2 linked regions of the Schizosaccharomyces pombe genome follow. Changing the gene in region 1 together with any one later gene gives a genetic interaction. Each region holds a gene or a part of one and is shown in the gene's direction. Other genes may lie near its edges.

Region 1 (4,885 bases):
GTTACTTAGTACCTCGAGAAGTTTTGGGGTGACATCAGTCAGACACAAGAATTATATGATGGGTGGGTGGGTTAATACGTATATGAATGATCTCATTTACGTTGCCGTATTGTGCTACTAAAAGTGTTATATATAGAGCAGTGGGAAGTAGAAGTGAGCACTCTTATTAACGATAAAGTTGTGAGTTGAACAAAAGCGACTTACTACTTTGAAATATTGTTTTACTTTACAATTGAACATTTACTAGTGTTCAGGAAAAATCTAATTTTTTTTCGTGCGCTCGATTGAATATTATATCAATCCTTTGTGTTGTACGGAGAAAACCGCTTTTATATAACCTTTCGATTTATTAATTTTTTTTTACTCGGTTAATTCACGAAATCCTAATCGAGCATCATGAATAGGCGTGTTACTCTTGGAGCCTTGGCCGCTGCTGTTGGTGTTGGTTATTATATGACTCGCCATAATCGTCAGGCATCTTCCAGATTGGAACAGAAGAATGCAGAAATCGTCAGAGCCGTGGAAAATGAGGGTCAACGATTTGACAAAGCTGTTGGCGAAACCACTGAAAAGGCAAAATCTTATCTCCAAAGTGGGAAGGAGAGGGTTGTCGATGAACTCGACAAACCTCGTGAAAACGTAAAAAATGTGTTGTCAGAGGCGCAAGCCAAGGGTACTGAACAAGCAGAAGCCCTTAAAAAGGGTACCTCAAAATGGTTTTAAATTGGAAATCCCCAATTCTCGCCATTTAGGGTTATGTGGCAATACTTTGAAAAAATACACACAGGGTTTGTTGTGTATTTGAAAACGTAAAGTGCCTAGCATTGGCTCGTTCTATACCTGCTATCCATTAAGTGTTCTTGTTAATTGTTCCAAACGTATTGCCAAACATTCCGGATCACATCTCGGCAAAGTCGGAGAGATTAAACGTTGTTAACGTTATTCTTTTTTATGTTATTATTAGTTTCTTCTCTCATAAACCAACTGAACCCAAATGATTAGCGATGACAAACAAACGACGATTCCATGGGTTGTCAAAAACACCCTCATAGAAGTTTGCTTTTTTTTGTACAGATAAAAGCGAATTTTTAATTGAAATAATGTTTTTCATGAACGCATAAATGAATGATTGAAATTTTTACATGCATGATTTTCCATTATAGACTGTAAAATGATATTTAAAGTAAGCGATGTGGACTAAGAGTAGTGATAATGCATATGAATACATGCATAGTTTGGATATTATAGGTTTTTCCTAGTTTCCATTATTAAAAAAATAAAAGATTGAAAGGAGTGTTTTGCTTTAATCTGCTCTAGTAGACAGAGTCAAAATTGATATATTTAATAATATTCAAGATGAAGAGATAGAACTCATCAAGTTCGCTTAGATATAACCTTAGCTTACGCGAAAGATGAGAATACTGTAATGCATAGTTTTTTGTTAATTTGAGACAACGAGAGGTATGGAAAATGCCCCTCAGGTGAATTCTCTAAATAAGCTAAAAAGTCAAACGCAAAAAAATGCATTATGCCGGTTTATAGAAGATAAACTTTTTTTTGCTGACAAATATTACGATGGAATTGTCGTTTTGACATTTCTTAGCCGTCGTACCTAATGCTTCTGACTGCTAATCAAGCTCTAAAAAAGCGCAGTTCGTTATACTTCTCTATCCCGTTTTCACCTTCATGACAAGTCCTGCGTATGTATGCATTCTACCATCTTCCATTATTCGCACTTGGGCGTACTCAGCTAAGCTGGTTTTGGCGTATTCATAAACGTGTCTATCCTTCAACAGGAAAATAGGTACCTGAAGAAAATAAGATGGGTCTCAAATTACTTCATCCTCCTAAACGTATGTAACGGTTTAGCTAGACATATAAACAAACTTGAGGATTCTTAGTTGGATGCTCGAGCATCGTATAGGTAGATTAAAACCGCAAAATAACTAACTTTATACAGCTTATGCGATGACCAGTGACCCTGAGTCGTATGCTTCGGTATGTGTCATGAAAAAATGGCCTATTATAGCTACGAATGTGATTGACGAGGTTTCTCGAAACATATCAAAGGCATTGGAGGCGGGAATGTCCGATAAAGCTGCTTATGTTACTCAAGGAAAGGAAATAATCAGCCTTCTTAATCAACTCAAATATGATCTTCAACACAATCGCCCTCTGAAGCCGCTTGTCGGTCAAGGGCCTGATATTGATGACTATAATGAGGAGTTGGAACAAGTTGGTCCATTGACTTGGGGCGATGCTCCCTGGCTTTATGCTGGATGCTATTTTTATCGTATCATGAGTCTTTTCTTTCAAGCCCGTTCTGAGTGGAATCGCCATGACCCCTTCTTTGAACAAAAGGACTTCACATTACGTTCTAGCAAGTCGGCCATTGAAGAATTTGCCAAAAGATATGTACACCTGAACAGTGAACTTGCTTCTATTCAAGAAAACAAGGATGACAAGGCTGCATACATGATTTTTGTAGAAATGGCGGAAATTTCACTTTGGGGCAACGCCATTGATCTGGGACTCTTAGTAAATGCTACCTACGAACAATTACAAAGCCTTCAGGGGCAAAAAGCTGTTGAGGAATCCCAGAAAAACATTTTAGTGAATGATTTCCCCAAAATTTGGTCGAAACTTTCAAAAGTTCGTCATGGTCGCATCGATTTTGTTCTTGATAATGCGGGATTTGAACTTTTCGTTGATCTTTTATTCGCTACTTATCTTTTGAAAACAGAAATAGCGGAAACAATTATTTTACATCCGAAGGATGTACCCTGGTTTGTTTCCGATGTCTTAGTCAACGACATCCCCCATTTATTTAACAGCTTAACTTCTTATTTTTCAGGCGAAGGTGTCCAAAAATTAGCCTCTGATCTTGCGGAGTTTCATGCGGAAGGAAAAATTGTAATTCGACCCAATCCTTTTTGGACTACTGCTCATTATTTTGGACGGCTACCTGATGTTGCTCCTAAACTTTTATCTGACTTAGAACAATCAGATATGGTCATCTTTAAAGGAGATTTGAATTTTCGCAAGCTCACCGGCGATTGTGAGTGGCCTCATACAACACCTTTTGCGGAGGCTCTTGGTCCAATTGCTGGAAAATTCAATATTTTGGCTCTTCGTACGATTAAGGCGGATGTGGTGGTAGGGCTTGGAAAAGGCGTATACGAAGAAATTGCCAAGGATAATCCTCATTGGGAAAGGACTGGTAAATACGCCGTCGTTGAATTTTGTCCCAAAGACTAAAAATTTCTAACATTTTAATTTAATTGACATATGGCTGTGGTTGGAAGTATCTTAATTCTGCTGCGTTCTTTTTTTTTATTTTTTTTTCTCTTTTTTTCTTTCACTCGTTTTTGGGCTATTGGACTCAATATATGGAACCTCACGGTGATAAAGTCGCAGCAGAATAAATCAAAAGGCAATAATGAATTTTTTTTATCTCCTTTTCTTCTACTATTACTGTCAATACATACCAAACTGAATTACAAATACCCTTGCATAACCTCGAAAGTATAAAAAACAAATGTCTTTCATTTGGTGCTCACGCCCAAACGTTAAACCAGCAACAATTTGTGTTAATTTCTCTCCCGCTTTCTTTTACAGATATCAAGTTTCAAAAATACCAAGTATTAACAAAAAATAAATACTTGGATTTTGCAACGACTATTTACAATCCTTTACATTTTTCTTTAACTTCTGTGATTTTCTATGAAACGCAGTTGACATGATTTTATTTTTCTCTTTATTTTTTTTTAAAAAGAAGCAATGTCTAGTATTGTTGAAATTTTAGCTTGATGTTTGTTGAAGCAAATCATCATTTTGCAAGCTGAATGAGCCCGAGTGTTACTTCTATTTACTATTAATCTATCTGATTTTGTATTGCTTTAGGTGTTAAGATCATGTAATCTTTGGTATACAGAAGGTTATGAAACTGGAGGTTCAATTTTGCTTTTCTTTTTTTTTTTTTTTTTTTTTTTGAAAAAGCACGCATCTCACAATAAATCAATAATTTTTGTAGCTCTTTCTAATTTTATATATAAACGTGTTTGTCTTCTTTGCAAATGAGAAAGACTTTGTCTTGATTTTCCTGTTTATTTATTTACTTTCTTTTTTCTGTTACATTGTTCTTTCGGCATTTTCCGTTCAAAAGTTACTCTTTATTTTAAGGTACTTAGAATTTGGTGAATCTTTAGTTTTCTTTTCTTGTTGCTAATTCAATATTGATGAATTTCGTTGCTTTTTAAAAATATTTATTTATTTATGTTAGCATTCGTTTTCGAAGTCTTCAGCAAAATTTCAATAGTTCAATAGATCTTTTTGCGTGCCAATTGAAAAAAAAAACGATAATAATAATAATAACCATAATGGAATGAGCATCGTTTGATTAAACAACAACATCAATCCGTTTACTAAATGAATCTATATCCTATGCCATCTTATAAGTAAAAAATGAAGATACAAATTACAGCACTCTGGTGGAACACGATAAACCGATTAAGAATTTATTATTCAGCAGACGTTATTTAATTTTTGATAATCTCTGCTCCACTTTGCTAACGTAACGACTCGTCATTGTCGATGTCTTTAACGACCTTTGTTACGGTCCTTTAAAAAGTTTAACCAATAAGGCCGAGGCCATCTTTGAGCCAAAATATACCATCAAATTTCACTTTGCCTCTTCACATACCCAATTCCTTAGGGATTTTTAAAATTTTAGAGTATTAGTGTTATTCACTTGTTGTTACGCATATTTTTATAGACCTGTTTATTCCCCAAGGTTTACTTGTGTAATTCCCTTTTTCCGAGGTCGAAAAGTGAAATTTCTTATGATTTAATGAGTACATTAAATTGATTAAGAAATCAAGGAAGG
Region 2 (5,009 bases), on another chromosome or scaffold:
CTGAGTATTCAATCATCATTCTCTTTGTAGATTTAAGAATATATCTATATTACTTATCGTTTTCGTCAAATCATTTTTTCAAACGTTTCATATGAGTATATTAGCAAGTAAACAATCAATACTTTTGGGAAATAAGCCTCTCAAAATACCAGAATGGGCGAGGTATTTCATTAAAAGTTTCGTTGACGATTTCAAAATGAAAATGTGTTTTTTGTTACAAATACGTGGAAATGGGGTGTTTACCTATTGGATGTATTCTCGTGTATTTTGAGAAAGAAGTACCAAAATTTAAAGTGAGGAAACTAAAGACTTATTTCGCTTTCAAAAGAGCTGAAGTTGCTGGATGCTTACAAGTCTTCCATTTTTATTGATAGTGGGCTTGATATGAGTCAAATCAGGCAAAAGTAATATATACACTGTTGAAAATACAACGGTCTGATAATAGTCATTCATTATCGTTCATATCCATAATCAAATGAATCATTAATTTTCAAATAAGCACAAGTTACGTTTTTTTGTTTTGTAAGGTTTTATACGAATACGCGATAGATTAAGTGAAAAAAAAAAAAAAATCAGAAATCATCAATAGTAGCACGATGAAGAAACAAGAAAATTGAAAATGACCCATCAATGGGAAACGCTCGTTTTTTTGTAAGTCCTAGGAAAGTAACTTTTAGATATATATTTGAGAGAGGAAGATCGAAACATTGAGATGATAAAATTAAAATGAATTGAGTAAGAATACTCGCTTAAACAAGGTTTTTAGGATTTCGTTTTGCGTCTTCAATCATTCGTAAAACACCTTCGGCTTGCTACTCAAAGTCAGTTTCATAGAATACGAACAAAAACCATTGAAAGCAAACACCACGTTTGAAGAAGGTAAAGGGAAATATTAAGGAAGACTTAATATTCTCTCTTTTGTGGCACCCCCAAACCCACTTCAGAACCTGGAGCAAACAGTTTTAAAAAAGATTCGCTATGTATACTTACTGATCGATCTTTTTTGTTCATTTCATAAGAAGCTCGAAGATCCGGTGGAAGTGAATTGACAACTCGTTCGGGAGATGGAGTTGTTAATTTCATTGTCATATAGCCAAATCCAACGATTCCTATTTTATATACTGGTAAGTAACACAATCTTAAGTTCGGGATAGAATCTTTTCAACTAAATCGATCCTATCTCAAAATGTCCATACCAACACCGTATACGATACTTTTAACCACACGATTCATGCTTTAGGTACAACAATTCAAAATGGAGTCTGCAAAAAGCAAACAATAATAAAGGTTGTAATACAGAGAAAAAATAACAGTAAGTATAGGCTCTTGACAGCAATGCTATTGCAGACACAGATGTTATGTAAGGCACCCTATACGTGCTATATAGACGTTCCATGGATGGTTGGCCGGTTTGCAAGGCCTTGTGAAATACGCTGTATTCCGTTATTGATCTTTATTATTTTAACAGAACAGAGCGCTGTTTCGCTAAGATTGTCGAAAAAGGTATCTCCCCGCAATGCGGTGGTAGCTTAAATATAAGGTTTTTTAAGGTAAAGTGTTAAAGGCGATTACTGCGCTATGCCCCACCACCCTGTACATGCTAATTTATTACTGCTGCCACCGCTAATCAGATCTGTCGACTTCGCCCTAACACGATAAAAGAAAATCTCTCATCTTTGTCAGGAATTCATCGTTCAAGTGTTTACAAGTGATATTAAATCTGTAAACAGTTATACTGCTTTGACGAGATTGAGCTAAAAATTTATCATTGTTACCCCCCGCGTTCGTGTCATATCAGCACCTTTGATTTGAAAAAGTGTTGCTCAACTGCGGTTTTTTTCAAAAGAAAAGTACCAAGTTGTTGATCATAAAGGATATTTTTACGCGTGATTGTTTTCTTTCTTATTCTTACACAACGATCTTAGTATTCCAAACGCATTTATTCTTCTTCCATATATAGCCCATATCTCCATACTGATTCACAAAAAGCGACGAAAGTGAAGGAGCCATTGATTTAGGGATTTTGGTACTTTTCATTGTCTCCAATTCTTTTGTATTGCCTTTTTGTAACCTAAATTTTCTTAAGACGAAGGAGCATTTGTTTAAGGCTTTACTTTTATCATATTTCTTTTGTCTTTTTCGTTTGTATGCAGAAGAAAGTCGTTCAGTCTGCTTCTAAGAATGAGGAGCTTGATCCACATTACAAGCGGTCCTCCGTTCCTTTCCCTTATGGATTACCCGATTACGATGCAGAATATCAATTCATCAATCATCATATGCAACAATTGCTTACCCGCCCAGTAGAAGGTACTCATTCTGCCTCTGTACATCCCTCCACATCTTCCACCTCTCATATCTCTTCTCCCTCTGCTTTTTCAGTGCAAAACCCAAATCCAAATGATGCTCCGTTTGTGGGAAACATTGGCTTGGATGCATCTGGGTTTTCCTCCGGTGGCATGAGTGAATACTATCCAAGATCTGTTTCTATGCAACAGTCTCAAGACGTCCATTTCCAAAATACCGAAATTCCATACTACCATCGTTCTCCATCGTCTGATAGTTTTTCACCTGGGGTGGTTGCATCTGTTAACCCTAATTCAAACAACTCTCCTACTTTTTACTCAAATCCTCCTGCATTATCTAATATTCCGATTCCCTTAAACAACTCTCCCTATCGTCCTGAAGATGCTTATTTTCAGTTACAAGGTGCTGGAGTGAAGGCAGACATAAATCCATACAACTTGTCTCCCTATTCTCAATATGGTCCAGAGGGCACTGCATATTCAAATGCGCAAGCTCATCATCAGGATGGTGCTCCTTTGCAGCGCGTTTGTTCAGCACCCGATCCTCCTAAAACCTCTATGCCACCTTTTGGATCCGCCGGGAGTCCATCTCCTAATCGTAGTTTAAACGTTTCCAACAACACGACTCCTCCTCTTTCCACTGTGAATAAAATTATAAAAAAGCCTAAAGCTACTACCGGTAAAGTTAAGAAAAGACTTCCTCAGGCCAAGAGAGCTTGCGCAAAGTGTCAAAAAGACAACAAAAAATGTGATGACGCTCGTCCTTGTCAGCGTTGTATTAAAGCCAAAACTGATTGCATTGATTTACCCAGGAAGAAACGGCCAACGGGAGTTAGAAGAGGCCCTTATAAAAAATTGAGTGATACTTCGAACAACACCAAGTCAACTACTGCATCTTCTGGTCATTCCACGCAAGATTCTCTCAGTTCTAAAATGTTGGATCCTTCAAGTGACAATCAGTTTGCCATGTCTTCCAGACAGATGGATGAAAACGGAATGGCCCAGTATCCTTCCTCAGCTATTAAACAAGAACTAAATCTTCAACCCCAGATACTTGTTTCATCTGCTTCAAAGAACTTTCAACCTAATGTCACTCCTCCTTTTGCTGTCCATCATGATCATTTCAATTCAACATCAATGGATGGTGTGGCGGTATCTAACATGGACGAAACTGGAACTTCCTCAGCTGGTTCAAAGCCTTTTAATCGAAAATCTCGAAACCGAAGTTTTACTAATCCAGTTGGTATGACCGAGGAGCATTTTCTAAGAGAATATGCGCAACACTCTGTAGCTAATCCTTCTTTGCTAATTCATCAGATCCATGGTTTACCTTCTGAACAAGTCCATGGCTTATTATCTCATACGGAACTCGGTAATGCAATGCATAATCAACCGACGTATAACGAAAGCTCAATTGCCGCTGAGAATGTGAACAATTGGATGTTAGAAACGAATGACCACGAAAATTTGTCCATGCAGAGCCATTTTGAGGTTCCCGATTTAAAAATGAACCATCACGATTCTAGCTTTTTTGACCGTCACATAGACCAAACGGCTATGCCTGGACAAAATCAACATGGTACTGTTAAGAATATGGAAACAATGCACCATTTTTATCCAGACGTTCATAATTCGGAGTTTCCTGCTGCCCCAAATCCCGTCAAGTCTCAAGTTCCTTATTATTATCAATCCCAAGCTGCTGATGATGAGGAAGAAGATGTACCGGATCATCAACCTTCTTGGCGTGGGAGAATACACTCGTTTTCAATAGCTACTGATTCGTCACAGCATGTGGTAGAAAGACCATGTATCCATTCATTAAGAGGAATACATGGACAACAGGATGGCGGGCTTGAACAACATGATGGTGATCATGTGAATATGCTTCCTGATACCCATGCGGAGGAGCTAGCGTACACATCCATGCTTTTATTTCATGATATACCTACACGAGACATTAGACCCGACTTTAACGTTCATGAGCTAGTCGATCATGGAACCTATCCTAACTTCCATCAAAACCAAGCCGATTCATTCAAGAATCATCCCTTTAGACAATAATTTTGCGCATATTACCTTTGTTTTTCTCGTTTCTTATTTTGTTTTTGCATTTGAGTGTTTCTCAGTAGATTGACCTACACTATGAATATTGTCAGACGACAGATCATCTTATGATCAAACGTAAGACAATGTGAAAAAAAAAGGAAAATGATTTTTTACTCCCATTTATTACTTTTTTTTTACTCTTCTCTCTCTCTTTGCCAAATTGCCATCTGGACCTATCTTTCTAATATCGGTCTAGTAATTTTGATATACTATGGATGCCCTTTTTGTCTTGTATTCTGCTTACATTGATTAAGAATGTTTTATCTTTCGTTTTCTTTGTGTCTATTTATATTTATTTTTGGGTATATTTTGGGAAAGAAAGTCGTTTTGGGATAAATGTGATCGTACAGATGACGAAAGAAGTTACTATATGTGATTTTCTAAGTATTTGTACCATTTAAGTGTGTCGTTTTCTTATTTTTACTGCTATTGTTATAAACGTTTTGTTATTTAGCCTATTGTGCATTCAACTTTCATTTGCTTCTTTTTCCGTTTTAGAGTTTGTAAAGAGATTTTTGTCATTATTAATCTTATTAATTTATACCAGTTTGGATATCCTGGTATAATGGCTTGACATTACACTTGCATTCATTCGTTGTG

What was found.
Region 2: of duf89 (region 1) and pho7, changing one suppresses a phenotype caused by changing the other (phenotypic suppression), as found in Schizosaccharomyces pombe (one study listed by BioGRID).

The regions. Positions count from the first base shown.
Region 1 is NC_003421.2:823,283-828,167, forward strand, and holds duf89 (cobalt/nickel-dependent phosphatase), read left to right. Parts: upstream 1-1,715; 5' UTR 1,716-1,822; coding exon 1,823-1,853; intron 1,854-1,960; coding exon 1,961-3,258; 3' UTR 3,259-4,370; downstream 4,371-4,885. Other genes in the region: SPOM_SPCC1393.12 (uncharacterized protein), read left to right, coding at 397-723.
Region 2 is NC_003423.3:1,344,604-1,349,612, reverse strand, and holds pho7 (transcription factor Pho1), read left to right. Parts: upstream 1-1,638; 5' UTR 1,639-2,147; coding exon 2,148-4,364; 3' UTR 4,365-4,501; downstream 4,502-5,009. Other genes in the region: protein Cbp4, read right to left, coding at 750-812, 991-1,109, 1,197-1,233.